4 linked regions of the Mytilus edulis genome follow. The protein of the gene in region 4 binds, or shares a complex with, the protein of the main gene of each other region. Links are inferred from orthologs where the notes say so. Each region holds a gene or a part of one and is shown on either strand. Other genes may lie near its edges.

Region 1 (7,915 bases), on a different chromosome or scaffold from region 4:
GAAATAAGTTTCTCTCACAGAAAATGTAGATAGTGATGACATAAATATTTAAAGAGCTGTGTTATACTTAATTATAAGAGAATTTGTATATTTCAATTCTTCTATTTTAATACCTTTATCTTTAGCAACTTTTAGAAGAATCCTAAGACAATCTTTGTGACCAAACTGTGAGGCCAAGAAAACAGGTGTTAGTTCCTCGTCAGCACAAATGTCAAGTCTGGCACCATGTCCTACTAAATAGGCCAGGATAGTTGCATGACCTTTCTCTGCAGCAGTGTGTAGAGCAGTGTAACCTGTGTAGATCTGATGGTTTATGTGTGCTCCATTCCTCAGGAGTAGTTTTACACAATCCATGTTATCCACATTTACAGCTAAAATTATAAAGTATTGATGAATGCTGGTGTCTTTACACTCATAAACGCATTCATTTAACTCTGAATATACAGTGTTTTCAAGTTGAAATGTGAGCAAGTGTTCATAAAAAGGTACCCCCACTATAAGTATTTTCAATGAATTTTATTTTTTTGATAAGCATAGATTTGAAAGCACAACAGTGTAGCATGCTCAAATGAAGCTTGATTTGTAGTCTTTGTGAAATTTAAGTGTCCAGCAAACAGTTAAATTATTCCGCACACAGAAAGTTGACAAGTGATGCTCTTGAAAATGCCACATACAGTATAGCATGGTCCCATCAAATTCCAGGAAAACTATAATTTGAAGGTTCTGTGCAAAACACTACCAAATTTTGTGGGATAGAGCAACTAACGTATAGACACACAGACGGAAGGAAAGACATGAACAAGTTGATGTAATTCCTTTACTAAAGACAGTATAAAAAAAAATTGAGTACCAACATACCTTGCCCTTTCAATACAAAAAGGAGTGACTACTTCCTTTTTACAGGTATTACCCTGCTAGCTCACCCCAAAGTTACCTTAGCTTTATTAGGTAAAACCTTTCAGAATTTTGAGTCATCAATGATTTTCAACACTTGTACTTTATTTGGCCTTTTTGATTATTTTTTTTAATTTGAGCGTCACTGATGACTCTATTGAAAATGGAATATGTGTCTGGTGTACAAAATTTTAATCCTGGCATCTATAAAGAGTTTGCCCATAACATGCTTAGTTACCTTCCCACAGTGGAGCAAAGTTTTCCTTGGTTGTTGTGTTTACGTTTGCAGAATATCCAATAAGAGCTCTGCAACATGCAAAATGGCCACCTCTGGCTGCCAATAACAATGAAGTCTCCTCTTCAAATGTTTTCCACTCAACATCAACATCTGAAAGAAATATCCTTTTTCTTAAATATATATTGTATACCCTAATACCTTGTTTATTAGTAGATACAAGGTAATTAGTTTAAACATTTTGAATACTGAATATATTAATTGCAAGAGCATATGTCCACAACATTCAATTTATCAACAGGTCAAAATTCATGTTATATAGACTTCTCAGTGAGGGTTGTATTCCATTTTTAAAGTGAATGCAGTAAAAAAAATTAAGGTCACTGTCATAAATGATTTCATTATTAATTAGCAGATGAATTGTACAACAAAAGTATATTTAATCAGCCAACCATCTTTATAATGTAAATTCAAATAAAAAAGTAAACATGCATTCCCTTCCTTATAGTTTATTTTTTCCTAACTGTACAAAGTAATAGATAACTACCTAGCCTCAGTAAAAAATCCAAGCAGCCAGTGTGTCCATTAGCAGCAGCCTCATGTATTGGTGTCCATCCTCTGTTGTCTCGTACATCTACTAGACGACCTGAAACATCATTTCATATATAAAATACCTTAAAATCACAACTTATAATAAGTATGTGAGTTATCACAAGTAGACTTTTTCTAGGTGGCTAAATTTAAAAAAAAAATTGAGTAAAATTGGGAATAAATCATTGTATATAATTTTAAATATTCTATTTTGTTCTTGAATGTCTACAAATGTATGGATTTGTTATTAAAGGCCTCAATGAAAATTACTCAATTTTTAAGTTCATATTCCTTAAATAATATATGTACTGTAACCTCAATGAAAATTACTCAATTTTTAAGTTCATATTCCTTAAATAATATATGTACTGTAACTTCTACAGTACATATATTATTTAAGGAATATGAACTTAAAAATTGAGTAATTTTCATTGAGGCCTTTAATAACAAATCCATACATTTGATCAATGAAGTTTTAGTTTGGGGTTTGCTTTTGTAAATAAATGTGATCTGGTATTTATTTGCTGCTGTAATGTAACATTTAGTTAACAAGACGTTAACAAGTCGTTTTATGGCTTTTCTTCAGGTATCTCTATTCATTTTTGAAAACAGAATCATAACCTCTAAATGTGAAGGCATTTTAAATCATGTGTATATCTTGTCAAACAATTTTTGTGGCAGCTTTTGTTAATAGACAATCATACCACAACTCTTTATTATTAAATTTTCTAGGTATGAATAATTGGAGATGTAAGATTATTTATTCAATGAGACATCTTCATACAAAACTGAAAATTCTAGGAGACAACATACCAACGGTTAATTAGTAAGTCAACAGCAACTCGGATCAGAAGAAAAATACCTTAAGATTTTTCAATAATTAGTACTTGAAGTATTGCTGTTAAAAAAAACATACCATGCCAAACTAACTGTTGTACCAGACCAAGGTCACCATTACGAGCTGCTATTCCTACTGAAGAACATGTGTCCTGATAGGTTTCATTGAAATCCATTACATACCAAATCTATCAGAATGAAAAAATGGAAGTAGATGTTCACATGTTACATGTATTTATACATTTGTATCTTCACATGTCACAATAGCTTACCGGTAGTCATTTCTGGTATTTGAGTACATTTTTTCTTAATAAACAAATTTGTGTCTTAGAAATTCTTATGTGTACAGAGCCTTTTATAGTTGATTGTGCGGTATGGCCTTTTCTCATTGTTGAAGGCCTTACAGTGATCTAAAGTTGTTAATTTCTGTAACATTTGGGCACCAGGTCTCTTGTGGAAAGTTTTCTCATTAGCAATCATACAACATCTTCTTTTATACATACTCTGTATTTCAATCAGATTGTCATAAATTAAGAAATTTTTAAAATAACAGCACATTGTTCATAAAAAACAAGATCAAAGACAATTTATTTGATAACCATAACTTTCAACAAATGATAACAAATGAAGCAATGTGTAAATGATTTGTAAATGAAAAAAAATCTAGTTTACTGTTGTACTGCATCTGTCATCAGAATAAAAATAAATTTGTCTGTAAACTGAAAATGTTGGGCACAATAAACAAAATATATACTCTGAATTCATATATTTTCGAGGGTACCTATTTTTCTAGATTAAGGAAAGCTTGCATATTTAATTTTGTGGTTTTGATGAAGTCTGCATACATGCCATACAAGCCTACATAAAATTTTATCATCCATTGAACATTTAATTTCATGGTTTGCCTGTACTCACAAAATCCTCGAAAATTGGTATCCCACAAATAATTATTAATCCACAGTATGTTGAAGTCTTAAAGATAAAGGTTTACACCGTATCACAATAGACAATAGACAATATTTATTAGCACTAACACATTTACATTAAATGGTTATCATGGTTATGGCATACAGTATTGAAACAATAAATTGACAATAGATAAATTGACTATAATTATATTAGAGTGACAGTGGTATATTCACAGGGTAAAAACCTATAAATATGTGTGTTTTCAGACAGTTTTAAAACACATTTTAATGTTCATGAACAAAAAACAAAAATTAGGATACCTATTATAAAAAGAAATATAAATATTACAGATGTTCTCAATAAAAAAACAATCATTAATATACTTTATGGTGATTTTTATGATGACTGGCAGACTGATATTTAAAAGTGCGGTCATATGGGTCAGTGTTAGAGATGACTGCAATTTAATAAAATTAAAATTAAGATTTTAACATAAACTTTCATATCAACTTTGCATTATCAATGCTCGATGTAAATGAGGTAATGATCATATAGACGAGTAGTATGAACACCATACACTAATAAAAGTCTTACTATTGCTTATAATATCTGAGGGGGGATAGGACCTTTATCAGGACTCCAGGATCGGGTGTTTTTAAGCTCGGGATTTCGGGATTGACCCTTTCGGGATCCAGGAATTATTTTTTCGAATTTCGGGACCTCGGCATTTCATATTTTTAAGCCCGGAATTTCGGGATTTCGTGTTTTTAAACCCAGGATTTTGGGATCAGGACCCCTCCTACCCCCCCTCATATCTGAAAAACAGATTTAATCAGATAAACTTACTGAATGAATGAGCCATAATTATTAGCTTGTTTTATTTATCTTTTCATCTGATGACTAAATTCTTTCATCATTGTCTATTACGAAGAGTTGTAATCGGGTACCTTCGTGACTTATAACAGTAAAAAAACTTGTCAAATGATGTCAACATTAATTTTTGGTGCATGACAATTAAAAAATGACAAATTTTTAAGAATCACGTTATTTTTTTCCAAAAATAACATTAATGATTATCATTTAAGACCTCTAAAGAACCATGATACAGATATTTTGACAAATCACAACGTTTGATGGCTGACGGTAATGGGTATTCCTATCCTCATTAAGTACTGTATAAAAATGAAAGTCCAGTTGTCAAATTTACCTTTTTATTTGTAACCTTCTATAGGTTTTTGAGAAGAGCATGTAGAGTCAAAAGGGATAAAGTTGAATGCTCTTTCTGATCATTGCTATTTGTTCCTCTCATATTCTTAATAAGAGAATTCATATTGCATGCATTATTTTTGTCAGACAGCAACTTTACTTTTAGTTTGTATGGATTTTCCACATCTCACAAAATGGTCTGTCTGTAGACCGGGTTATTAGCTTTACCATTCATAGAACATTAAAGTGTTCGTTTATGTTTAATATATTTTGCAATTTGTAGTTTTGAATATATATTCTTAGATATACTAACCATTTATGGAATTATGTTTTTTATTTGTTTTATAGAAGACGCTTTTGAGTTTGGCATAACCCATTATAAAACATTATTTTATACACTTTACTGTAGTTTTTTTTAACTTCCGGTAATTCAACGAACAGAAATCGTAAATAAATATCTGTTTTTACCCATTAATGCTGTAGATCTCAAGTGTATATTCCGTCATGGGGTCGTCTAAAAAACACAAAGAAAAGGACCGTGAACACAAAAGAAAACACCGTCACAGATCTCGATCGAGAGAACGAAAGCGACATAAACACAGTCGAAAAGACAACAAACCACATGAAGATGAACAAGAATACACTCACGAAGGATATGATGAAAACTATGATGACTACAATCGAGCACCACTACAAAAAGTTCTAGCAGATGTTGGTAGGTGTCAAGAAATTTGGCTTCCATCTATGTAAAATTATTTTCTGATTTCCCTTACTGCCGAGTGTCTTCTATTTTCAGTTTCCGCACTCCATCATAAATTATATACACCTTATCCCCATTTGTCTGCCATTACTGGATATCACACAGGTTCCCATAAAATTTTGACGTCATAAAACAAAATAGCTGACGCCACAATGGAAAAGTGATTGTTGTATGCGTCAAAAGTTCAAGCGGCCGGGTCAGCCGGGATTAGCGATAAGGTTTATTGATGACTATGTGCTGTGCCGATCCGAAGTCACATTTTTAGCTCACCTGGCCCGAAGGGCCAAGTGAGCTTTTCCCATCACTTGTCGTCCGTCGTCGTCGTCGTCGTCCGTCGTCGTTAACTTTTACAAAAATCTTCTCCTCTAAAACTACTGGGCCAAATTAAACCAAACTTGGTTACAATCATCATTGGGGTATCTAGTTTAAAAAATGTGTGGCGTGACCCGGCCAACCAACCAAGATGGCCGCCATGGCTAAAAATAGAACATAGGGGTAAAATGCAGTTTTTGGCTTATAACTCAAAAACCAAAGCATTTAGAGCAAATCTAACATGGGATAAAATTGTTTATCAGGTCAAGATCCATCTGCCCTCAAATTTTCAAATGAATGCGACAACCCGTTATTGGGTTGCTGCCCCTGAACTGGTAATTTTTGGGAATTTTTGCTGTTTTTGGCTATTATCTTGAATATTATTATAGATAGAGATAAACTGTAAACAGCAATAATGTTCAGCAAAATAAGATTTACAAATAAGTCAACATGACCAAAATGGTTAGTTGACCCCTTTAGGAGTTATTGACCTTTATAGTCAATTTTAAACCATTTTTCGTAAATCTTAGTAATCTTTTACAAAAATCTTCTCCTCTGAAACTACTGGGTCAAATTAATCCAAACTTGTCCATAATCATCTTTGGGATATCTAGTTTTAAAAATGGGTGGCGTGACCCGGCAAACCAACCAAGATGGCCGCCATGGCTAAAAATAGAACATAGGGGTAAAATGCAGTTTTTGGCTTATAACTCAAAAACCAAAGCATTTAGAGCAAATCTGACATGCGGTAAAAGTGTTTATCAGGTCAAGATCTATCTGTCCTGAAATTTTCAGATGAATTGGACAACCTGTTGTTGGGTTGCTGCCCCTGAATTGGTAATTTTAAGGAAATTTTGCTGTTTTTGGTTATTATCTTGAATATTATTATAGATAGAGATAAACTGTAAACAGCAATAATGTTCAGCAAAGTAAGATTTACAAATAAGTCAGCATGACCAAAATGGTCAGTTGACCCCTTTAGGAGTTATTGCCCTTTATAGTCAATTTTTAACCATTTTTTCGTAAATCTTAGTAATCTTTTACAAAAATCTTCTTCTCTGAAACTACTGGGCCAAATTAAACTAAACTTGGCCACAATCATCATAGGGGTAACATGTTTAAAAAAATGTGTGGCGTGACCCGGCCAACCAACCAAGATGGCCGCCATGACTAAAAATAGAACATAGGGGTAAAATGCAGTTTTTGGCTTATAACTCAAAAACCAAAGCATTTAGAGCAAATCTGACAATGGGTAAAATTGTTAATCAGGTCAAGATCTATCTGCCTTCAAATTTTCAGATGAATCCAACAACCCATTGTTGGGTTGCTGCCCCTAAATTGGTAATTTTAAGAAAATTTTACTGTTTTTGGTTATCTTGAATATTATTATAGATAGAGATTAACTGTAAACAGCAATAATGTTCAGCAAAGTAAGATTTACAAATAAGTGAACTTGACCGAAATGGTCAGTTGACCCCTTTAGGAGTTATTGCCTTTTATAATAAATTTTTAACCATTTTTCCGTAAATCTTAGTAATCTTTTACAAAAATTTTCTTCTCTGAAACTACTGGGCCAAATTAATCCAAACTTGGCCACAATCATCTTTGGGGTATCTAGTTTAAAAAATGTGTCCGGTGACCTGGCCATCCAACCAAGATGGCTGCCATAGCTAAAAATAAAACATAGGGGTAAAATGCAGTTTTTGGCTTATAACTCAAAAACCAAAGCATTTAGAGCAAATCTGACATTGGGTTGAATTGTTTATCAGGTCAAAATCTATCTGCCCTGAAATTTCGGATGAATCAGACAACCCGTTGTTGGGTTGCTGCCCCTAAATTGGTAATTTTAAGGAAATTTTACTGTTTTGGGTTATTATCTTGAATATTATTATAGATAGAGATAAACTTTAAACAGCAATAATGTACAGCAAAGTAAGATTTACAAATAAGTCAACATGACTGAAATGGTCAATTGACCCCCTAAGGAGTTATTGTCCTTTATAGTCAATTTAGTTCATTATAGATAGAGATAATTGTAAGCAGCAAGAATGTTCAGTAAAGTAAGATGTACAAACACATTATCATCACCAAAACACAATTTTGTCATGAATCCATCTTCTTCCTTTGTTTAATATTCACATAGACCAAGGTGAGCGACACAGGCTCTTTAG
Region 2 (7,911 bases), on a different chromosome or scaffold from region 4:
TTGAACTTTCATACTTGTCAATAATTATTTTCAAGATACAAAGTATATCTGGTTTCAAAACCAGACGTGTTGACCTACATCACTACAAAATAGATCTTTTCCATCAACACAGTCGTTAATACAAGTCGGTATAAAATATTATTCACAAATAGTTCCTGAGGTTTCAGAACTCTGAGTCAGGACTTCTGATAGAATTGTTCCTGTGAATTCCATCTCATAAAAACAATGTTACATAGTTATTGCACCAATAAATACAACTGCTTATTCATCTCTGTCTATTCTGAGCTGCCTCTTTTCTTGCTGCATCTTGTAACAATTGTGTATCACATTCATCTGCAGGTAACTGTACATATCTAACTACTGAACCTCTAATAAAACAATTCTTCACTGATAACTGAAAAACAGAGCATGTTACTATTAACAATTCATTTTATACTGACAATTTTCTGTTACATTACTTATATCTTACTTATTGTATATATAATTATTAAAGATATCAAAGTAAACAAGTTACAGTTTTCTATGAATTTCAAGATTCACTCAAAAAGTACCCTTCAATTAAAACTAACAAATCAGACACTTTTCCCCAAAAGTACATATGTCTATTTATATATCAAACGTTTTTTTCTTGTTTTGATTTGGATGTGTAAATTAACTTTAATACATGTACTGCTTATAATCTAATGTTCTCAGTAAATAGTATCATAATTATAAATCATCATCTTAAGTGTATCATTTTTTGAATTATGCTTTTTGTCTCCTCAGTATCTCCAGCCTTGAGCTCTTTTGTGCAACTTTTGGTCTGATTTAGGCAATCATGATTGAACACTTTCTGGGTATTATTCAGACACTTGATCAGCAATATAGATGTAAAGTGTAATTATTTACTAACTGATAAGAAAAGACCTACCATATGTGGATATTTATCTGGATCTGTCACCTGTATGTCTGTTAATTTAATATTCAGGAACTGATCTACTGAATGTAATGTACCACATATGCTACAAAATAAATAACATTTAAAGCAAAACTATACATGAAAAATATTACAAAACATAGTATAGGTATGGACAAATAATTTAATACTAAATGGTGTATAAAATCTCAATTTTGGAATATAGTTCCTGTTCTTCATTAAAGCTAATGCTCATGTGTTTTTATGCAGTTATGTTTAGTTCTATTATTGTTCCTGTACTTCAGACTACTGTCTTAGAAATGCTGTGCTTAACTGGAACAACAAAGTATTTGAAGTTTTGTCAAATACATCAACATGCAGAAAGAGGCTCATCATTACAAGTTCATTATTAAGATCAAGACCAAATATCAAATTTTCCAATAATTCTGAAAAGAAATATGAAACAAAGGCTATGGACAAAGCAAAAGATGAATGCAGTTCACCAACCAGTTTGTACATTTGTAATTAGGGCCTGGGATGTTTATTAACATGATAAAAATAATAAGACAAGTTTCCACCTACATGATTTGTTAGACCAAATCTTGTGAATGTAAGCAACTTTAGTATCTGTCTTTATTATTCTTGGCTTCTTACCTCAAATCATTCTTTAGTTCCACAACAACATCTTTACCAACTAAAGATTTGAAGAAAGAGTAAAACAACTGAAATCAGAAAAAATAAACATGATTAACATGTATAAATTCATTCATATTTTGATTCAATTTAAATTATGGAAATGTGATTTGAATTTGCCAATGAGACAATTTTCTCCAGTTTTAATAAGCTCTGAGTCTGACAGCAAATGAGAAGGATGTAAGCAATAGCACATTACTGTCAGATATTTTGTATTATGAGGTCAAAATTTTAAAGGAACCCTGAGGGATGTCCAGTAATGAAACAAAAGGGATAAGATGTTTAGTCAATACCTCGGGGATTGTCTATTGGAAATCTATGAATAAGAATCCATGACTAATCACCCCACTGGCAAATCACCCCACACCTAATCGCTCCACTTTTTAACTAACTTGTCCCACTTTCTGAAAAATTCGCCCCTCTTTTGTTTACCAACTCGCCTTACTTATGAAAAAGGGCAATTCCCTTTGAAAATATGTTGGATAACTTTGCTCCTTATATGAAAAGGGTAAAATTCCCTCTGAAATAAGGTCTGCCAAATGCAACTCTTTATTCATAAATATATCAGCCATAATATTTCTTTGTATTTGATGTTTCCAAAATTCATAATGACTTGTGAAAAATAGGTAAATCCTGATGAATATAATAATGCAAAGTCATCCCACTTGATGCAAAAGATGTAATCCCGTTGTATATATCTATGTTCCTAACGCACTCATAATTAAAATCAATACCTATGCAAACCTTAGATAAACATGCTTTTCTCATTTGAATGGTTTTACACTTGTCGTTTTGGGGCCTTTAATTGTGACTTGAATGAAGTGCTGTCTCATAGGCACTCATACCCATCTAATTATATATCTATTTTGTAGTTCTTTTCTTTTTGTTGAAATAAAGAAGAAATAAATGAGTATCAGTATTTCCGAGACGTGAATGCCAACTAGCCCCACTTGTGTAAAATAGAAAAGCCCTAGTGAATCGAGTCATGCCCCCTCATACTAGTCGTTTTTAAGTGGGGCGAGGTGGTAGACCAGAAAATTATATATTCATCTAGATTTTACCTTTTTCATTAATAAGTGGGGCGAGTTTCCCTGAAAAAAAATAACGGGATTTAACTGTTTTCACAAGTGGGGCGAGTTGGTAAACTAGTTTGAGGCGAGAATTTTTTTTAAATGGGGCGAGTTGGTGAAAAAGTGGCGCGATTTGTCCTGCTTCCATGAAGAAGATGTTCTTACACGACCTGTGTCAGACTTATAGGTCGTCGGGCTATTGCAGTGTCGAACTAAAAGTTGTGGGGTAGTTGGAATTAATTAGTGAATGCGTGACGCTCATCACCATATAGTCCAAATAATTATGACGTCTTGAAAGGCTATTATAATTTTTTTCTTTGACGCCTTACATCGACGTCGATGTAAGGCGTCAAAGAAAAAAATTATAATAGCCTTTCAAGACGTCATAATTATTTGGACTAATCACCAAAGTGACACCCGAATTTTATAAAGCAGAAAATAGTAAAATAAACAACTTGAGGCCATGGATAGACTTTCAACACAACTCCTCCTATACACTTTATAGTGTCAAATAGAGCTGATGGGCTGGCACAGCTTAGAAATTGAAAGATGAACGTTATTAAATGAAAATCAAAATGTAAAATTTTCATTCATGCTTTTACCCACCATTTTGGATTTTTATCTCGTCATGAAGGAGATTTCACTACAATGAAAAATAAGGACAATCTTTATTCATAAATATATCAGCCATAATATTTCTTTGTATTTGATGTTTCCAAAATTTATAATGACAATCAGAAAATTTTCTTAAAAGAACAGAAAAAGTAGATTTTGCATAGCCGGTCTTTGTTGTCACGTGACTTCAACGAGATCATAATTTGTAAAGTGAAAATAGCACTGTCATACACAGCAGACAACTTGAAAATGACATCTGTACTCAGTCATATAAATCAGGAGGAGTCACATTATGCTCCTAAACAAGCATACTTCAATCCCTATGAACAGAATGGAGGGTATTATATTTTCTCTCATGTAAAATTCACATATATATTAGAAAGTAAATCACTGAAATGATGCACATTCAAGTCATTTTCACATAACTATGTTCTTTGAAACAATCATTTTATTAGCAATGAAACAGCTATCAACCTGAGAACAAGGCGTTGTTGTAAGCAAGCCCCTTGTCTGTCCATTTGCTGATTTTATTTACATGGTTACAAGTTTCAACATAAGAGTAACGTTGTCATGACCAAGTTATACATTGGGAGTACACCATAATGTTACTAGCACCACTCAGACCTGCAATCTACGTATCCTGATTTTGGTGGTATCATCCAGTTGTTCATGCCTCAACCGGAATCCAGATATAGGGATTGTAAACAAGTCAAATCATTATTTAATTATTTTTCGTCAAAGACAATTAGCCTCACCGGACACAATTACGAACGATTTTTGAACTGTGATTAATATTGTTTTTATGTAGACTACTTTTCTTGAATTTTTTATACCATAGAATTTAAGATGTATGAAGGCTTTCCATTTTGCATCATATCCCACATAAATTTTTATGCACGTTGGGTTACTTTAGTAAGATTTGCGTGACCTCGTTTTACGGGTCAAGAGAGCCACATATGGACGCAATTCCGAACAGCACTACATTGATATATCTTGCAGAAGAAATCAATGACAACAGTCTATATTGATAAAGCATACATTAATCTTTATCTCAAACTCATTTTCATAGGAAAATAAAAAGCACAAGTTTGTTTTTTACTTCAATATACTTCAGCAGTGGTTGCAGACGAAATGTCGGTCATGTGTAAAGGAAAGATTTCTGATTTTTTTTTTTTTTGTGTAAGTTCCTCCTTTAAAGGAGCACTAAATTCAAGTTTATCCATTTCGGTGGTGTACTTGTCATTCATCTACGATTTTTTTTATATTGGTCAACATTTCTTTCGGAGTTCTCTGGACTTTTCAATAAAATTAACATATTTTCTTTTGGCCATAAATAGGTTCACAAGACTGAAGAGTCTAAAAAACGTCAATTGTGCGGTTATTTGGGCATGATAAAAGGCATCACGCATATGAACAGAATCAGGAGATATTTTTCTTTCTATATATTAACAAAAGAAGGCAATATGCACTTACCTTTATGTATTTTTTTACATAACTTCCAGGTCAGATTGCCGTTCTTATAATATTTTCAGAATGATTTTGTCATCGTCATCAACATTTACCAAGTGCCCATAAATTGTATTATCATGAAAACAAGGGATTTTTAATAGGGTTTTTATTTATAGAAACATTTATTGATAAATATAAACAAATATGATCTCAGAGGGCAAACATTGGAAATCGTTCGTAATTGTGTCCAGTCGTAATTGCGTCCTGTGGGGCTATCAATTCTGATTTTAAAATTATACTTTAATTTACATAGAAAAAAGATTTTTTCATACATGTATGTATCACATGCAAGAAATTGATTTCAGCAAATTTAATATTAAAATGCAAATAGACAACTTTCGAGTTAGATGCATTTCCATCAAAAACTCTGGTTTTAGTGAACGTCATTTGTGCGTTTAGGGGCGTCGTCACTTCCGTTCCAATGTTGAGCGATTGGTTGGAAAACTATAATTCCTTATTGTACGAATTATTCGGCAAATTGAATTCTCAAAATTGACAATCAGCATTGCTGTCATTAGGGAATTGTCATTAAGTACCTACAGAACAACCATTTTTTCTTGTTTATCCTGCACAATGACTATCACTAAGACGCTTGATGAACGTAAATAGTGCAGGGATACAGGCGACCCCCTCTATCTGATAAATGACGTCATAAAGGCGGGTATAATTGACGAGTTTTTTCCGGTGACGGATGAACTCGAAAGTGGTCTATTGAATTCACGTTAAATTTAATGAGTGCAACTATTATCTGTTGTACATGTTGTATTCAAACACTTTTAAAGGTAATTAAGTTACAGGCCTCGACAATAACGCTTGTCCGATTGTCCGGTACCAGAGCAAAAAAAGGTCGGACAAGTAAAAGCTATATCAAGCTTGTCCGATGGGACAAGTAAAATTATTCTGCAGACAATAAATTTGATGAACGTACATGTAGTAATTATAATCAATAAAACAAGAAGAGAAGAGAAAAATAAAGTTTTAATTTTACATGTTTACTTGCAATCGAATATTTAAAACTGGTTCTTTGTCAGGTACTTTTTAACAGGTAAAAGACATACTATTCTCGTAAACCAGTCTTACTGATTCGAATCAGCGGCGCTTTGCAGATGAGGTAACTTTACAAGACAGTTCATCACTAGCTGAAACGGTTCGGCTCCAACTTTAATAGACAATTTGGCACCGTACAAGACATATTTAATAGTCGTGATTAATAGACAGTTTGGTAACATACCCGGACCAAGACAAATATGAACATCATTTTTCTACCTTATTCTGTTGCTTTAAAATAAATTATACCGGTATTTTTTTCAACAAAAATACTTTTTTACATATATATGAATGAAGAAATTGTGTACCACAAAATTCACTAAATCATATTTGATCCTATGTAGTAAAAAACAATACTTGCAATACGGTGACCTATAGTTGTTAATTTCTTGCAGAGAGTTGTCTCATTGGCAATCATGAGGGTCTGGATGGGGGGGGGGGGGGGGTCTGTTATTCTGTAAACATTTAATTTCGACCCTTTTTTTTTATAATCTTTAAAAAATTAACCCCTTTTTTCTCTAATCTTCAAAAAATGTACCCCTTTTTTCTCTAATCTTCATTTTTTAAGGGCATTATTCTTTAATCATTTAACCCCATCCAAACCCTCAATCATAAGTCATCTTCATTTTTGTATGCCCCACCTACGATAGTAGAGGGCCATTATGTTTTCTGGTATGTACATGATGTACTTTTGTTCGTCCGTCTGTCTGTTCGTCCGTTCATCTGTGCGTCCGTTCGTCTCACTTCAGGTTAAAGTTTTTGGTCAAGGTAGTTTTTGATGAAGTTGAAGTCCAATCAACTTGAAACTTAGTAAAGATGTTCCCTATGATATGATCTTTCAATTTTAATGCCAAATAAGAGTTTTTATCCTAATTTCACGGTCCACTGAACATAGAAAATGAAAGTGCGAGTGGGGCATCCGTGTACTATGGACACATTCTTGTTTATTGATTGCATTTAAATACACTTTTCAAGTTAAAAAAAACATTGACAGGCCTATCAGACGGTTCCTGATCATCTGCCTAGTCTTATAAGACTTTGGCATTTATGAAAACTAGAACCTGTGACAAAACTAGATTCAGTTGTTCCGACTCATATTTTTTAAAAGTATTTCAAAAGATACATAATATGTATGAATCAAACACTGTGGAATCAACTTCTGTTCTATTGTTTTAGTTATTTTGTTCCTTGAATCTACTTATTATGCAAAAAAGGTTATTCTTAATATTTTTTGGGACAAGTTTCAATTTCATTCGGACAAGTAAGTTTTGGTATGTACTTGTCCTATTGGACAAGTTGAAAAAAAAGTTATTGTAGAGGCCTGAGTTAAATAACAATAAAAAGTCGGTGATTTCCTGTCAATTTGATAAACAAAACTAATCCAGAAATGAATCCAGAACTATTGTACATGTACTTTAATTTGATCGCAAAACGTCCGGTTTTAATTTAGTCAAACCGAAACAAACGTAAGCAGTGTCTGGAAATTAACCAGTTTTAGTCATTAAAACCATTTCAATTTTAAACTGTTGCCTTCCCTATACTGTTCTCGAAGGAAATGGTAAGACATTTACTTTGTAAATGCAATGAAACAGCAATACAAGTTTGTCAATTCTATGAATCTAGTCAAGTTGAAAAGGGGCACCAGCTGAAGTCTTTTCAATCATCTCAAAATGACCAAAATTGTATGGAAAAATTTCCAGATCCTTACTTTAAACTACTATTTTCTGCTACGTTATACAGTTAGTGTCAAATTGGTTAAAGTTTAACTATGATTTGTCAAATAACCTGATCCTGATTTGTCAGAACTCTCAAATAATTCTCGTTATTTTTCGGAAAAAAGAATAATGTGATTTGTCAAAATCAGTTCACTTTTATTGTCTAAAGAAATTATTTATTTAATTGACTGAAATGCACCAAAAATTAACGTTCAAGTCATTTGCCAAGAATTTTTACTGTTATTTTTCATGAACAGGATAAAAGTACCCCCAATGAATACAACAGTCTGTAACGTACCCATCTTAAATGAAACATTACCTGAACCTGTGTTATAGTGAAGTTAAGAGTACTTTTGAAAAGAAATTA
Region 3 (8,218 bases), on a different chromosome or scaffold from region 4:
CATGTACAGCTAACAATACTTCTATACAACATATATAGTTGACCTATTACTCATAGTTTAAGAAAAATAAACCAAAACACAAAAACTTAACACTGTGCAATGAACTGTGATGAGGTCACGGTCAAATAAAACCTGTGCGACTGACATAAAGATAATAAAATATTTCCATACACCAAATACAGTTGACCTATGGCATATAGTATTAGATAAAAAGACCAAAACACAAAATCTTAACTTTGACCACTGAAACATGAAAATGAGGTCAAGGTCACATGACATCTGCCCGCTAGACATGTACACCTTACAATCATTCCATACAACAAATATAGTAGACCTATTGCATATAGTATGAGAGAAACAGACCAAAACACAAAAATTTAACTATAATCACTGAACCATGAAAATGAGGTCAAGGTCATATGACACCTGCCAGTTGGACATGTACATATTACAGTCCTTCCATACACCGAATATACTAGCCCTATTGCTTATAGTATCTGAGATATGGACTTGACCACCAAAACTTAACCTTGTTCACTGATCCATGAAATGAGGTTGAGGTCAAGTGAAAACTGTCTGACAGACATGAGGACCTTGCAAGGTATGCACATATCAAATATAGTTATTCTATTACTTATAATAAGAGAGAATTTTCGTAACATGAAGCATCTATATACAAAGTATGAAGCATCCACCTTCTAAAATATAAAGCTTTTAAGAAGTGAGCTAACACCGCCGCCGCCGTAGCCGCCGCCAAATCACTATCCCTATGTCGAGCTTTCTGCAACAAAAGTTGCAGGCTGGACAAAAACTACTTCTAAAAATATCTTTCTTTTGTATTTTAGGTAATATCATCTCATGTATCCCTTTTTTCTTCCTTTAGACATTCTATTTTTCGTCTTTCTTCCTTTCTTTCGTCCTTTAGCCATTATATTTTTGTCTTTCTGTTAAAATTAACTTTATAAAAACCAAGTGTTTAGTATATTGAATATAAACCTTTTTGGCGATATCAATATAAAGTATTGAGAGTTATATATACATCTTCATTTTACCTGGAGAAGCCTTGAATGAATTAGACATGGACCTCCTTCCTCGCAGTCCACTGGAATCAAAACTGTTCTGCATTCCAGGTGAAAAGGAACTTCCTGGTGAGAACGATGGATGATGGGTAAATCCTGATACATTAGGAGACATGGAGGAATTGTGAGCAAATGATGTACCAGGACTAATACTGCTGAGATTCTGAACCTTAAATTAACAGATTTGGAGAATCATTAGCCCATTATATTGAGAACAACTTAATAATTAAATGTAAGAGCTTTTCAGTATTTAAATAACATAGATATTTAAAATATCTTAATATTTTCAGCTTTTATCTGTCATGTTTATATTAAAACTATGTTTGTAATTACATGTAGTGGATAATGAATAATTCAACAAGAAAATATTTCCTCTCCCCAAACAGGTAAACATACCCCACTAATATTTGCTGCTGGTGAACTGTAAGTTGAATATACAATGGAGTGATTACTGAAGCTAATGGGCCCAGACATATTTGTAGGTGTCGTCTGTCGCTGACTTGCTGTACTAGAGAAACTAGAATGAGCTGAAGGTGTACTAGACAGCATTAAACTTTCTTCTGATGATAAATTCAATTTCCTTGGTGAAACACTGAATCCAGCATCTGAAAAATAGAATCCAAGCTGTAAGTCTTGTAATAAATAAAGTATAGTGTAAAACTGTAAATCCACTTGTTTTGAATCAATCTTTCCGTATTCCTTTTTAGGGTTTTTGCTTGTTTTGCATGCTTTTAGCCTTGATTGTTAGTTTTTAATTTTTTGTTTTAATATTTATTTTAGTATTGACCTTTTATCTTAAGGTAGGCATTTTTGTTTTATTTTTTATTTCAGTATTTGAATTTGACACAGAATGTACAGTGCCTTAAGAGTAATTCTTTTTTTTAAATAGGGCCCTTGATAAATTTTCATTATCATTATTTTTATTATTATTATAAATCTACAAAGCAGTGTTCTTAGAAACATATCTAGATGCATTGGTGACCCACAATGTTTAACAACACAAGGTTTTGTTTAGTTTTATTATGCATCCTTGAATGAATAAATTTATAACATATAAGTTTAGTTAAAATACAGTTTAATGATTGAGTCATTCTTAATTTCAAAATTTTAAAACAGATTCAGTACTATTCCATACAGGTCCAAGGTTTGTTTAATTTTTCAGTAATATATTTTACTTTTCATTTTTTTTTTCATAATAAATTTCATCTGCTACTTCACATCAATATCAAACAACTTAACCATTCATTTACCTATATCTCTGACAGCTAGGAGTTTTTTCTGCCCTGGAGTCATCATTACAGACTTGGTAGATACGTATGGTTTAAGGTAAACAAAAAAGTTGGTCACACTGTTTAATAAAAATATCACAGCCAGAATACATTCTGAAAAAAATACAATATAAAGTATGATTTTATTCATTACTTTTTTTATTAGTATCCTTTATGTCATCATGCATATGTCATGGTGCAATTGTCAATGTTAAATTTGCATTGTACGGTCTTCGTCTCAGGTACTACAATTTATAAGCAATAGTCAACTTACTTTATTGGGAATCTACATCTTAATAAATTTATCTTATATCCATCAATCTGAACTATATATCTTAGCACGCTTATTTGTGAGCAATGCCTTCAATAAACATTTTTTTTTCTAAAATATATATTTAGTGTTGTTTCTCAATCACTACATGTGCTTTTTTGTCTATAATTCTATAATACCTGCATTTTTTCAACACATATTTTTTGCATGTTAACTCTTTGTATGTATTTGTATGCATTTCTTCTCAAGAATGGTATTTTTCACAAATACACCTGAAAATGATATTTTTGTTCATTTCTAAAAAAAACATGAATAAGTGTCTGCCAATTCATTCTTTTAGTGTAACTTACCAAAGTACCATAGTACAGGATGTGTGATGTTTAAACTAGATCCTATACTGTTCAGCTGCCTGTAAAGAAAAAAGTTCAAAAAATTAATAAACAAATCATAAAGGCCTTCAAATAAGTGTTCATTGTAAATTTAAATTATTTATTTACATTCTCCCTTATATAAGTCAAACTATTTGATATTTTAACATAAAGTTTTGACCTACAATTTTTTTTACTTACAATGGTTTACTTTTACAAATTGTGACTTGGATGGAGAGTTGTCTCATTGGCACTCATACCAAATCTTCTTACATCTTTATCTCATTGTCATTTCCAGTTGCTATCACAAAGCTAACATTATTGGTTCATGACCTTTCTCATATTACATGTTAATTTCTCTATAATGCTGCAAACTAAGACACTGTCATTGACTGGACATTAAATACTTCACCGCATTTAATCTAAAACTGATATCATAAAGTCTTATTAGAGATTCAAATATTTAATTTAAAACATGTAAAATTGGTTCTTACATTTCCATGTACATCACTATAGCCAAAATGATATTTACACAGCACCAGAAGGAACTCTTTCTTGCCTGTTTCCATGACTGCCTTTTATTCCAAGTCTCATTGACAACTGGATCTGTAACTGTACCAATCTTTGTCATCCTGCTACCTACAATTAACATTATATCAATTTAGTTTGCTCTATTGATCTTTATGTCATCACTAACAAGATATTAAAATTTGAACCATATTAGTTTAACAGTTAAATGTAAATGGTAATTATGACACAACAATGCATTCTTTAAATAGAACAAAAACCTGTGAGACAAGGATAAGTAAACTTCATGAAAGTCTGTCTGTCTATCTAGATCTATCTAAACTATATAGGGGGTCTCATTGGGGGGTTCCAATCCCGGATCCCGCTTACTGTTTTGTCAGATTCCTGTATCCCGCTTACACTATGTACGTAAGCAATTCTCATTTTTTTGTCATTTCCCGGGTCCCGCTAGACCTCATTTCCCGTTTTCACGAAACAATTACTTGACTTTCACATGTCACGCTTACAAAAAAATCGGCAATCCCATGTCACGCTTAGACCCCAATGAGACCCACTGTATACACAGTAACCTTATCGCTATTTGGAAATCGGTCCCCCTTGACCTGAGAATCTGTTCTGCTTGAACTTTTGACGTCATACAAAAATCACTTAACCATAGTAGCGGCATATTTTTACAAGAATTTTGTGATGTCCAGTAATGTCAGACAAATATAAAGCAATAGCAGATTTAAGGTGTATTGATCTGACTGTCAGACATAACTAGTATGTCAAATTGATCTTAATTTGTCAGACCAGGAACATATCAATAGATTACTGTTCCTAGGTCAGACTTTAATCTCCTTATCAGGCTTTATATGACAGAATAAGATGATGCTTTTTCACACAAATTTATACCTGGTCACAGTGTTCGACTGTTGGTCGCTGTCAAAAGTGTCATTTAGTTACAGAATAAAAACTATAAAAATAAAAAGGGTGTATTTGTTTTCAATAGGTTTTATGAAGGACGTATTCTAACAACAATCAATACCAGACGATTTATGTCAATCGTTGTTATTGTTAATCAAAACATGCCGCCTCGGCTTCTTCAAAGTAAACTTCCGGTATAAATCGAGTCGTATAAAGGCCAACTCGTCCCTACAGATTTCGCTTGATAACTATTTTATATACAATCAATGTATTTTAATGACACAAATGGGAATAATGCAAATTAAAAAAAAACAACTGTTTTTGAAGGGATCAATCTATTAAAATAGTTTAATATGCAAAGGCGAAATTGGAAAGTCCCGTTCAGAACAAAGCTGTGGTACGATTAAGTACCGAAAACTCATGTATGTTAAATTTCGAAAGATTTTGATGCAAAAAGTTATATCAGCATAATAAATTTATGATTTCATTATTAAGTGGTTTTATTCTAGCACAACATACACCCTTTATACGCAATTACATTATTAATGAATAAACACAAAATGAACTTAGATTTTGGGTTATAAGATCAGACCAATAACTCGAAGATGGCTGATGAACAAGAGCAGGTGCGTTTGGACGACCAGAAAATTTGTGAATTATGTGTTTTCGAAATTTTACTAAAGCTGTTACACATAAAAATGTTCAAATTAATCAATCAATTATTTCGAATTTCATTTAATTCTCAGTATTTCTTTATTCTAAATGTCTTTTCATAAGAGTTTAGATTGTTGACTACTGAAATTGATAGAATTTGTGACAACTCGCCCCATATCTAACATGTATAATCGGCCCAACAAATACCTGCTAACTCACCAACTAGTATTCACAAAACATCTGTCAGATGGTGTTGTAATTTCTGCTTCTTGGTACAAAAAATGTATGTTTTTGTATAGTTTTAAAGCCAGCAAATACGAATTAACTCATAAAACTCTCTCTCTCTCTCTCTCTCAGCATTGGTAGCGTGAATAAATAATCAATAGTAAAAATGATGCCTGTATTAAACTTCTAGTACAGCAGATATATTTCCATACATCCATTCGAAAAACAATATATAATTAACATATGGGGCGGAGGTACTAAAATAACATTCTTTCTCTTGTATTTTTGTACGGACCAAATGGGATTATCTTAAATTCTACACTGACAATGTAAATAAATGCAAGGCATACAGCTATCTGCGCTGCTTCTTACCTCTAAACTACGACCCATATTCATAAGATAAACGGCAAACATACACCTAAATACGCTGCTTCTTACCTTTAGGAACCCCCGGGTGCCTTGCTGTAAGTGAAATGAAAATACATCAAGGAATGACGAACGTGACATTACACTGTTACTTATTTGAAATTACCGGAAGTAAATATTCTAAGCAGGAAGAAAAACATTACGTCCAACATTGACATAAAATATAGGAGTCTTCGACTCAAAATTCTTGTAATAATTAACTCTTATGAATAAACAAATCTAGACATATTTATTCTTCCAGTTAAGAACTCATACAATGTAAATGTACCATTTCTGGTTCACGCTTTAATAATATGGACTCAACCGTTAGGTTCTGAACAATACATGACAAAGTTGCGCCATACATTTTTGTACATGTATATGACGTTATCGATACAGCTAATAACATAAAGTAAAATGTACATTATTTACTCCTTCAATATATATACTAAACACTAGAAATAACTTATGATAACTTTATTAACTCTCTTAATACAATAGTCACAACATTCCTTTACTTGGGAATACCCAGTGCACACATTAACAACAGATGGGAAACACAGGTTTTGTTTGCTGTAAGCACACATACTTCTCATAGACAGTAGTCCAAATAATTGTGGAGTACCACTTATATAAGTGATTTCATTATTACCTATTTCAGTGGTTTGATAATATCTGTTATCACCTGTTGGTGTTTCCTTTAATCTTGGAATGTATATATGTAACTTTCATCCATTTTCTATATTTTGAGAAATTTTTCTTCAATTTCTCTACATACATCAATTATCCCTTTCTCTTGTACCGGTATATATAATTTCAGTTGGTGCACTTGGTCAGTAATTAAGTGCTCTAAAGCTTTTAAAATTACCCTTGGGAATTTGTCTGTACGGGTAATCAATTATTCATTACTACTCTTACAAACAGACAAAGGTAAGCATTTTAAGTAACCTGATTGGTCTTTTTTCAAGTTGGGCAGCAATCATTTACCTTCAAAAAGAAGGGGGATATATACAGTTTGTTGTTTGAGCCAGAAAATTTCAGTTGAAAGTCCTGAACATACATAAGATTCAGATATTTGCCACTGGATATTGAGCAACGTACAGTGAGTCAATCAGGCCAAAATATATAGATAACATCTATAAATTTGACACCATTAAACTGGAAGTGGCTCCTTTACAGGCCTTCCAAAAAATATTTGAGCCAGCCGGACATTTGATATCTGATTCCGATTTTAATCCCTTAAGACTTAAAAGGCAATTGTGGTAATCAGATGGCCATTCCAATGATTGACATTTGATTAGAAAAAAAAAGCATTTTCAACTTTACTTTGATATGAATTTGATATGAAACTGTTAATTTGGCAGTGCATCATTCAAAGTGTGCACATCAGCGTGCTCATATCTGCCTTACACTCTTTATTTGTGCAAAATGACATTCAGTGACATTATTAAAGGGAAATCACACTATTGTTTATACGCATCGCTATCGGGGCCGCTATAGTGTCGTAAAGTTCTGTATTATGACGTCGCCGTTTTCGTGTCCGTCGTAAAGCTAGTTCTTATTTTAAAAAAAATAGCGAGCCGCTCGAAGGGACGTTCCACTAAAGCAGGAGAAATGATAATGAACATATGATATTTTTTACAACTGTTATAATTAAAATAAAAATACGTGTCCATAAAAAAGGGTCTGATTGTATTGGGGTAAATTTACGGAATACAGAATAATGGGCAAATACTGCAGAATAAAAGACAAAAAACAGAAGATTAGAGAATGAAGCTTAAATATAAAGAATAAAAAATATTGGAAACACTAAATAAATATTAATAAATGAATGACCCTCTATCCAGACCCTTATGATTAAAAGAACATATCAATACAAAACACATAATCATCATGCATAATCACCACTAAGAACGATGGAAATTCATAGCATATTCAATATGATTTAGTACCCTCTCGGACCATTTTCTCGAAAACGAAGTCGGTGACAAATACTTTTTTTTGGCAGCGTATCGTCGCGATGCGGTATGTAGAGTTCATGGTATATTTTCGGGGGGGGGTGGGGAGAGGGGTACAAATAGACCAAGAGTAGCAGCATGTAAGCGTACACTTCCGGAATCTGTAGTTTTCAGTCCAACAGAGGAATGTAAATAGGAACAATGAGTTTCGACCGTTTTCTCATATAACATGCATGAAACGTCATAACTATAGTTTTCTATACTACATGTATAAATAATTCATCAAAAATCTCATTTCACATTTATATTTATCCGGTGCAGCCTGTCGGGTTAATACAAAGCAGGGTCAAAATTAATATGTTCTAGTTCTGAATACTAGTATGCATTAAACTTGCCACTGGACGTAAATTATGTGTGACGTGCTATTTGAAATCGTAATTTATTTCACATGTGACGGCAGAAATTATCCAAGTGTCGTCCATCTTTCCCGAATGTTCCTTTGACATCTAATGCCTCTCACTTTTTTTTTGGGGGGGGAGGGGGGGGGGGGGGTATG
Region 4 (7,861 bases):
ATCGGTACTGTTTATCAATGTTTTAAATTACCTCATGTTTTTTTTATGAAAACAAGCGGTTTGGAAAAATGTAAATGAATATTTTATTTTCAGGTACTTAGTAGTAAACAAAGTATAGGCAGTGGAATATACACATGATACATTCATTTCCCTTGACTTAGGGAGATATAAAGATTTCTTCACCCTTGAAAAGTCATATTTCCCTCGGGCAGGGCCCTCGGAATAAGAATTTTCTTGGGTGAACAAATCTTCATATCTCCCACAGAAATGGGAAATAAATGTAAAATATTTATTACCACAAATTATTTGCTTACAGTCAAATAAGTATGTCAAAGTAGCTTCTACGGTTCTACATGTACCGGCAGATTTTAACAGCAAATTGTTCAGGTCAGATCATATCAAAATGTGGGATATAAATAAATATGTTAAATAGAAACAAGAAGGTAGGCATTTGTGGATGTTTAAAATCATTACAATGTATGCCTAACTTGAACTGAACCTATTTAGCTCCACACTATGAAACAGCTATATATGTGCATACATAAAAATTCATTTGAGGTCAGTTGGTTTCCTATGCTTATCAAATATTTCAATGTAATATATAGTAGCTAACGGCATATATTAAATAATGATTTAAACTGAAACTACATTTGTGGTTTTTGAGAACAAAGAAGTAAATTGTAGCCTGCTGATTGGGTGGATTTTAAGGAGCTTCAGTCATCATATAAAGTTGTATACCTTTTGGCTATCCCTTAGTTTTGCTACAGATCTAACAGAGTCCTTTGTTGAGAAGTCAACTTCTTCAGAGACTTCAGCCACTTCAGAAATATCAGTCATTTCAATATCAGCTTCATCTTCTATTGCCTCCCCTCCTGCCTCTTCGTAATCTGCTAGAAGTTCATCTGCTAGAGACATCTTGTTTAACTGTTTCTCAAAAACTTAGAACTAAAATACAAAAAATATAAATGTGCATGACTGAAATCTATTAGAACATGTACATGTCTAATTTTCAGTATTCCAACTGAACTATACTGATTAACCTTTTTTATGTGGTGATCGAGGTGTAATAAATATATAATGATGTTATATTATGCTCCTTGTGAGCCCATTTGATGGAAATAAAGCATCTTCTTCTTCTATAGTGTGTAAATCCAACATGGCAACCGTTATGATATCCTTGGTCGCCATGTTGGCTGATCATGTACACACTAAATGTATATAAACTTTATAAAGATCTTTATGAACTTACCTGTTTTCTGTAAATCATTTTTAAGTTACATGTATAAAATACTCTTATAATGTAATATTATTTGATAATCAATCATGAATGTTTAAAAGTCACCAATATCATGAATATGTGCTAATACTAAAATTTCAAGTGTTATTTAGTTATTACAAGTGTTATTCAGATAATAATGGTGTTATTCTGTCATTTGTGTTACCCCATGTCTATTATATAAAGTATTGTCACTTGTGTAAATGTTTATTGCATTACTATACATACAATTGAGAATGGAATAGGGAATCATCATAATGTACCAAAGTGACAACAACCCGATCAAAGAGCAGAAAACAGCTGATAAACACCTGACCAATTGGTCTTCAATATCACGAGAAAATCCTCACCTGGAGGCAGATTCAGCTATCCTGCTAAATCATGTATGGTGCAGTCCGGAGTATCCGCATTCATACATGTTCATTCATGAACACATTCATAACATACTTTTATTTCATAAAATCTTTTGTTTGTATGGTTTCATCCTCTAGATTTTGTGTAATGTGTGTCCAAAATTAGGGAAACCCCTGTTCTGAGAGTTCCTTTAATGTCTGGTGATTTCGCGCATGCCTTCAAAAAAATAGCTTATTTGGAATAAAAAAGATTTTATACTACGAAATATAGCTGAGTTTGTACCAAACACACTTCCAAGGATGCAGAGCAAAAATTATTTCAATCTGATATTAATATGACTTAACCCTTTCCTCCATGGATTTTTTTTCTTCACAAACTTGATTCGCATAAGGATTTTTTTCAATAAAAAAAATCATCAGGTTTAAAGTATTTATGCATTGTGAAAACGAATATTTCATCAATGAAATTCAAGTCAGATATTCTCATAAATATTCTTTTCATATTGGATACAAACTGTTTAAAGTCTGATGCAGACATTTTGTAGTCAAAGCATTTCAACTGAGGTACTACACAGACGTCAAAAGGCGTCATTATGGAGTAAAGGGGGTGGCGTCAAAAAGCGTCATAATGGAGGAAAGGGTTAAATATAACAAATTTTATCTGATGATGTAACTTTTTAAATGGAAATTAACCAAATGTGGTAAATCACGGAATTGCAGTTATTATTAATTCTTGAACTTATCAATTTTATTCTTTTTTATCCCTTCGGAAGGCTAAAACAATAACAAGAATGATTTTGTATGTTTTAATGTGTTGATATAAATATAAGACGAAATCAGCTAATGCGCGATATCACGGGAGGCGCGGACACCGGGGACTCCACTGTTAACAAAAATGTATGCTAGTTCAGTGAAAATTGAGCTCATACTCAACTCCAAAACATATAAATGAACTTAAATTGTAAGTTATACAATACTAACAAAGTGCAATCACTCCAACGTCTCCGTATATATTAAAATTTTTATATTTATATTAAGGTATAAATTGTTCAAACAAGGAATAAAACCTTCAAAAAGCTATGTTATGAAAATCTATGGATGGTACCAACGGGATTCGAACCCTCAATCTTGGGATATTAAGGCAACGCTCTAACCAATTGAGCCAAAGAAGAGGATCTTCCCTAACTCAACTAGTTACTAAGTTAGACCACCTTTATAACTAAAGGTCTACAACAGCTAGCACAACAAATAAACTTTCGAGTCAAAACTTAAATATTTACATTATGATTATGCCAAATTGTTGTAATTTTACCAATTATCTGGATTTCAATTCCTCAAAATACGTCTGAAATAAACATAAACAGCCACTACTAAATTTTTACATGGGGGCTGCCATTTTTCGTAATCAAAACGTTTGTGGGATTGCCTTAAAAAGTAATACCTGGTTTAATTTTTGGTGACGGATAATTTCCGGGGGAAAAAGAAAGGCACTGGCTACGGTTACATTGGAGACTAATTGCCGGAATGCAGGTTTGGATAAGGAACCGATTAATTACGAATATAACAATAATATTTCGGTCTACAGTTACCCTGCGTTATTGTTACCGTGATTAAAGACTGTGATGTACCCTAGTTCTAATGTACGATGGGCCTATATATAGTGATAAGTATTAGAATGAAACTTGAAAAGTTGTATTTGATATTTAAATATTGCATGCATACAATATTTCAATTTTTTATTTACAATGACTGTTTCTACAAATCCAGTATGTTGTTGTATTTAGTATGTTTTAGCCTTTAAGTCCGACGCATTTTTTTTGTGAAACCCCTCTAAACAGCCATCACAAATAAGTGATTCGACAATGTGCATGCTCCATGTATTGCATTCCATTCTGCACCTCTTCTTTTTTTAGGTTAAAGAAACTTTCAATGTCTGCTATCCTGCAGGTGATTTTTTTTTACGCTTGAAATTTTTATATTTTCGACCAATTATTTTGTTGGAAGCTTGTCAAAGGTTGTTTAAATACAAGTCAACTGTGAAAGCAACTAATGTTGAAATTCGCCGACAGGTTGAAAATGGTGGAAACAATGTTTTCATTTTCAGACTCCAGATATTTTGTAATCGTAGTTTCGTTCTTTTTGGTGAAAATAAATGCTCTATTAAACAGCTAGTTCATTAAGTATTCATCAATTTAGTGCCATTAAACTATAGTAGTTTCTTTAACAACATCAAAACAATCAATACTTAAAAAGTTTTTGAAAAACAATATAATTATTATTATCTAGTACATAACAATAACGCAATGTAACCGTGGACCCATATATTATTGTTACATTCGTAATTAATCGGTTCCTTACCCAACCCTGCATTCCGGTAATTAGCCTCTAATGTAACAATAATTGTAATATTATTGTTACATTTCCATGTTACCGTAGCCAGTGCCAAAAAAACATTCACTCTGTCGCGATCGATACACGCATGATTATGTAAAAAAATTGTAAGGATTCCGCGGAACCTAGTGTCTCTTGTCTACTTTTGCTGTAGTCTATGATTCAGTGCGACAGGGATTCACTTATTGTGATAATTTCCGGGTACGCGCAGACACTGACTTCAGTGGCGGACCCAGAACTTTTCCTAAGGGGGGGGGGCTGACTGACCTAAGAGGGGGCCCGCTCCAGTCATGCTTCAATGATTCCCTATATAATCAACCAATTTTTTCCCACGAAATGGGGGGGCCTGGATCCGCATATGGACTTTATTAAATGAACAAATAATAAAGAAAAAATGATTTTTACATTAGTTTTCCTCTAGTAACTATCTGTTGATTGTAGGTCTCTTCTGTTCAAGTTTGGCACAAATTTCGGATGGTTTATGAATTTAATAAAAAAAAAAAAAAGGGAATAATTTAACTGCCGACTGTATGTAAAGTTAACTGGAAGAAAAACTAAGTTCATTTACAGTAAAGTAAAATTTGGAGAAAAAAAAGAAAAACAAATTTCTATAAAATTTCCTTCTAGATACTAGCTTTGATCATATCTATTCAACAAGCTTTCTGTCCAAGTTTGGAACAAATCCAGGATAGACCAGGATAGTTTAAGAAAGTTATTTAATATAACCCGTGACAGACAGTGAATGTAAAATTAACTGTCAGAAAAACTAAGTCATTTATAAATAAGAAAAATATGGATAAACAGCATTTTTGTTTTTTACCAAATTTACTTTTGGATATCATCTTGACATAATTTTCTTTAAAGGCTAAGTTATTTTGGACAATGCAAAATCCGTTTAAGTTTTCAATTTTCTAATGCATTGGAATTATATCTATCTTAAGGGCGTCATGGCGTGACAAGTTTTTAAACTTTTCCGGCTATGCACAGTTTTTGTCTGTTTGTTTTACTGAAATGTGATTATATTTTGAGGTGAAAACATAGCCATTAAAGTCAAATTAATGACCCATATTCATGAACCTCAGGCTTCAGAGGCTTTACAGCAAAGATGCACACAAAGAAGAATAAAAAAAAGAACGTCATTAAAAAAATGCTGATTATGCATTTCTGAGACTGGAAATACAATTTCTCATGAAGAATGGAAGCGAAACGTCTATAAAATGTAAGTAAATTGATAATGGAAATGAGGATTGTGCAAAAGAGACAACAACCCGACCAAAGAGTAAAAAGCAGCAGCACATAATCAGTTACAAGAAAAAGCTGTTAACTTGTTAATTTTTAGACAACTTAGTACTTTCAGAAGTTTAAATGATAACAATTTTCTAAAGAAAATAGAAACTACACTAAAAGAGAAAAGTGCATGAGCGCACTTCTATTTGACCAGTACAACAAGTCTTTAAAAAGAAATAAAACATTATTTTCTCTTTCAATCCCTCCCAATCTTAAGTATTTACATACCCCTATGGCACGCGGGAACCACATAAATGAGATAATCACAATTTATCGGGGATAATGATAGATTATCGGTCGACCATTATAGATGTACGGCGTAAAGTATACTTTACGGTTGTAAATGCATTTACGAAATTATCGTCGACAATCTATCATTATCGATCATAAATGCATTAACAGTCGACAATCTATAATAAAGGAACGCGGGAACCATATTATTGGATAATTGCAGTTTAACGGGCGATTCGTAAATGCATTTACGCCCTGTTTTCGATAGCAATTCATATGTACCCAATCACAATAGGTTATCGACAATGCTAATTAATTTTGTCCAATCATATCCATCGATTCAAATGACAACGCGTTTAAGTCAAATTGATCGTCTAGCTAGATCTCAACAACCGGCAAGTAATAGTATTTTAGAATACTGTTTATCTGTAAAAATTGAGACGAAATTATATTACATGCAAGTTTACAGTCATTAATTATTATACTTATAATAATTTTACCGTGACAAAGTTAATAAGTTATAACTGGTACTAATTTCATATACATGGCAAGTCGTTGTAGAATAATTTACTTTCTAATTTCTATATTAATGCATCATTTATCATTTTTAATATAACAAAATATTTTTTTTTATATCAAATATTTTATATTAAAAAATCGTGCATTTTTTTTTTATCATTAACAGAGACACACATATATATAATATATATGTACCGTGACATATATTGTTTTTCCGGATTGAATACCATAGTATTGCCCAGTGCTTCTGTTTAAATAAAGTAATTTGTTTAGTTGTAAAAACAATTACCAAGTGATAATCCATTTAGAACTTCACCTCCAGCTTAATTTCAGGTGATTAATTGGAGGGCAATAAATTGCACAATCGCACACCTGTAAATCCAGTCACAACTCGGGCTACAGAACTAATTATTGGAAAATCGGACACATATAATTTTACTGTGTAATTAAGAAGCAAACCTTAGCAAATAAATGCGGTACAGAAAAGTTTCTTGCAATATCAACTGATCATTACCAGATTTTAATTTTTAAATTAAAAGAAATGCCGAGAAAGTAGCTTTTTTTTTGTTTGGTGTATAAAATAACCATAAATCCACTTATTCATGGTATGGCATCAATATTTCTGACCTGACACTACGTACTTTATATTGCTTAATTCTATAGAATTTAATATGCAATGTTTCGGGTTCTTTCAGGAATATTCCAAGGTAAACCCTCATCAGAGGCCGACAAATACTGTCTAGTGAATATCTAATTGTACATAATTAAATAAAGTTTATCAAGAGAAACAAAAAAGAATCATATAGACGGTGAAACATTTGTAAAAGAAAGTAAGCCTCACAGGCAGACAGCTTAATCTGAAAGAATCAAAATATTTTAATTTGGCAGAACTATAACCAATGAATATCTATAGACAGAATATATTCAGAAACAAATTTTGTACATGTTGCTATTGTTTCTAATAATTCTCGCAATTTGTAAAGGAATTAAATTCAAATAGTTTTTGTTCACCATCTTCTTTGAATATATTAAATCCATTATTTCTCGTTCTTTTGTGCAATTTGATATTATTTTTGTAAGATATTGCTTTATTTTATTGTTTATTATTATGGTCATTGTCAAATATAGCAATATAAAATATTTCCAGGAAGGCAACTCCGCCCATTAAAACGCCAACGATCTGTTGTATTATATTAGCATTACTTCCATAGGTAGCTCATTGACAATCATATTATTTGTAATCAGGTTGCATGGTAACTTCTAAGGTTTGATACGATTGGCGAAGAATTATATATTGTTGATTGCTTAAAACCCAGTGGCAAGTATCTCATGTATGTGTATGATGATGGTATAGTGATGATATAAGGCTGTTTGCTTTTTTAGTAGTATAACTTCTATAGTTCACTGACAATCATATTAGTTTCCATGTCACCTTCAATGGTTTGAAATAGTGATGAAATATTGACTGTTGGTTGCTTAACGTTCAGTGGAACATATTTCATGTATGTTTAGGACGATGAAATAGCTATATATATATATATATAGTGATGACCTAAGGTTATTTGCTAGTATAATAGTATAACATCTATATTTCATCGACAATCATGTTAATTTGTATTTATTTTCCATGTTTCCAACTAAGGTTTGACTTGAAATAACGACGAATTATTGATTGTGATTGTTTTAATGCCAGTGACAAATATTTCATGTATGTGTAGGACGATGATATAGTGATGGCCGAAGGTTGTTTGCTAGTATTATAGTATAACTTCCATAGTTCATTGACGGTCATATTGATTTATAA

Evidence for each region.
Region 1: U4/U6 small nuclear ribonucleoprotein Prp31-like (region 4) and U4/U6.U5 tri-snRNP-associated protein 1-like share a complex: the UniProt entries of both Homo sapiens proteins name them as parts of the U4/U6-U5 tri-snRNP complex. The link is inferred for Mytilus edulis from reciprocal best matches to the Homo sapiens genes PRPF31 and SART1.
Region 2: U4/U6 small nuclear ribonucleoprotein Prp31-like (region 4) and U6 snRNA-associated Sm-like protein LSm2 share a complex: the UniProt entries of both Homo sapiens proteins name them as parts of the U4/U6-U5 tri-snRNP complex. The link is inferred for Mytilus edulis from reciprocal best matches to the Homo sapiens genes PRPF31 and LSM2.
Region 3: U4/U6 small nuclear ribonucleoprotein Prp31-like (region 4) and U6 snRNA-associated Sm-like protein LSm3 share a complex: the UniProt entries of both Homo sapiens proteins name them as parts of the U4/U6-U5 tri-snRNP complex. The link is inferred for Mytilus edulis from reciprocal best matches to the Homo sapiens genes PRPF31 and LSM3.

What each region holds. Positions count from the first base shown.
Region 1 is NC_092346.1:24,006,886-24,014,800, reverse strand, and holds the start of U4/U6.U5 tri-snRNP-associated protein 1-like, read left to right. Parts: upstream 1-4,837; 5' UTR 4,838-5,176; coding exon 5,177-5,387; intron 5,388-7,915. Other genes in the region: ankyrin repeat and SOCS box protein 3-like, read right to left, coding at 114-371, 1,133-1,282, 1,677-1,775, 2,637-2,733. UniProt on the Homo sapiens protein: Plays a role in mRNA splicing as a component of the U4/U6-U5 tri-snRNP, one of the building blocks of the spliceosome. May also bind to DNA.
Region 2 is NC_092345.1:55,908,609-55,916,519, forward strand, and holds the start of U6 snRNA-associated Sm-like protein LSm2, read right to left. Parts: upstream 3,297-7,911; 5' UTR 3,268-3,296; coding exon 3,265-3,267; intron 1,618-3,264; coding exon 1,550-1,617; intron 1,002-1,549; coding exon 911-1,001; intron 395-910; coding exon 266-394; 3' UTR 1-265. Other genes in the region: proteasome subunit beta type-1-B-like, read left to right, coding at 3,523-3,611. UniProt on the Homo sapiens protein: Plays a role in pre-mRNA splicing as component of the U4/U6-U5 tri-snRNP complex that is involved in spliceosome assembly, and as component of the precatalytic spliceosome (spliceosome B complex).
Region 3 is NC_092344.1:14,979,316-14,987,533, reverse strand, and holds the start of U6 snRNA-associated Sm-like protein LSm3, read left to right. Parts: upstream 1-4,940; 5' UTR 4,941-5,025; coding exon 5,026-5,046; intron 5,047-8,218. Other genes in the region: transmembrane protein 209-like, read right to left, coding at 1,053-1,248, 1,476-1,684, 2,330-2,461, 2,969-3,027, 3,481-3,617. UniProt on the Homo sapiens protein: Plays a role in pre-mRNA splicing as component of the U4/U6-U5 tri-snRNP complex that is involved in spliceosome assembly, and as component of the precatalytic spliceosome (spliceosome B complex).
Region 4 is NC_092352.1:66,091,523-66,099,383, reverse strand, and holds the start of U4/U6 small nuclear ribonucleoprotein Prp31-like, read right to left. Parts: upstream 3,072-7,861; 5' UTR 2,942-3,071; exon of another isoform or gene 2,910-2,941; intron 946-2,909; 5' UTR 916-945; coding exon 739-915; intron 1-738. UniProt on the Homo sapiens protein: Involved in pre-mRNA splicing as component of the spliceosome. Required for the assembly of the U4/U5/U6 tri-snRNP complex, one of the building blocks of the spliceosome.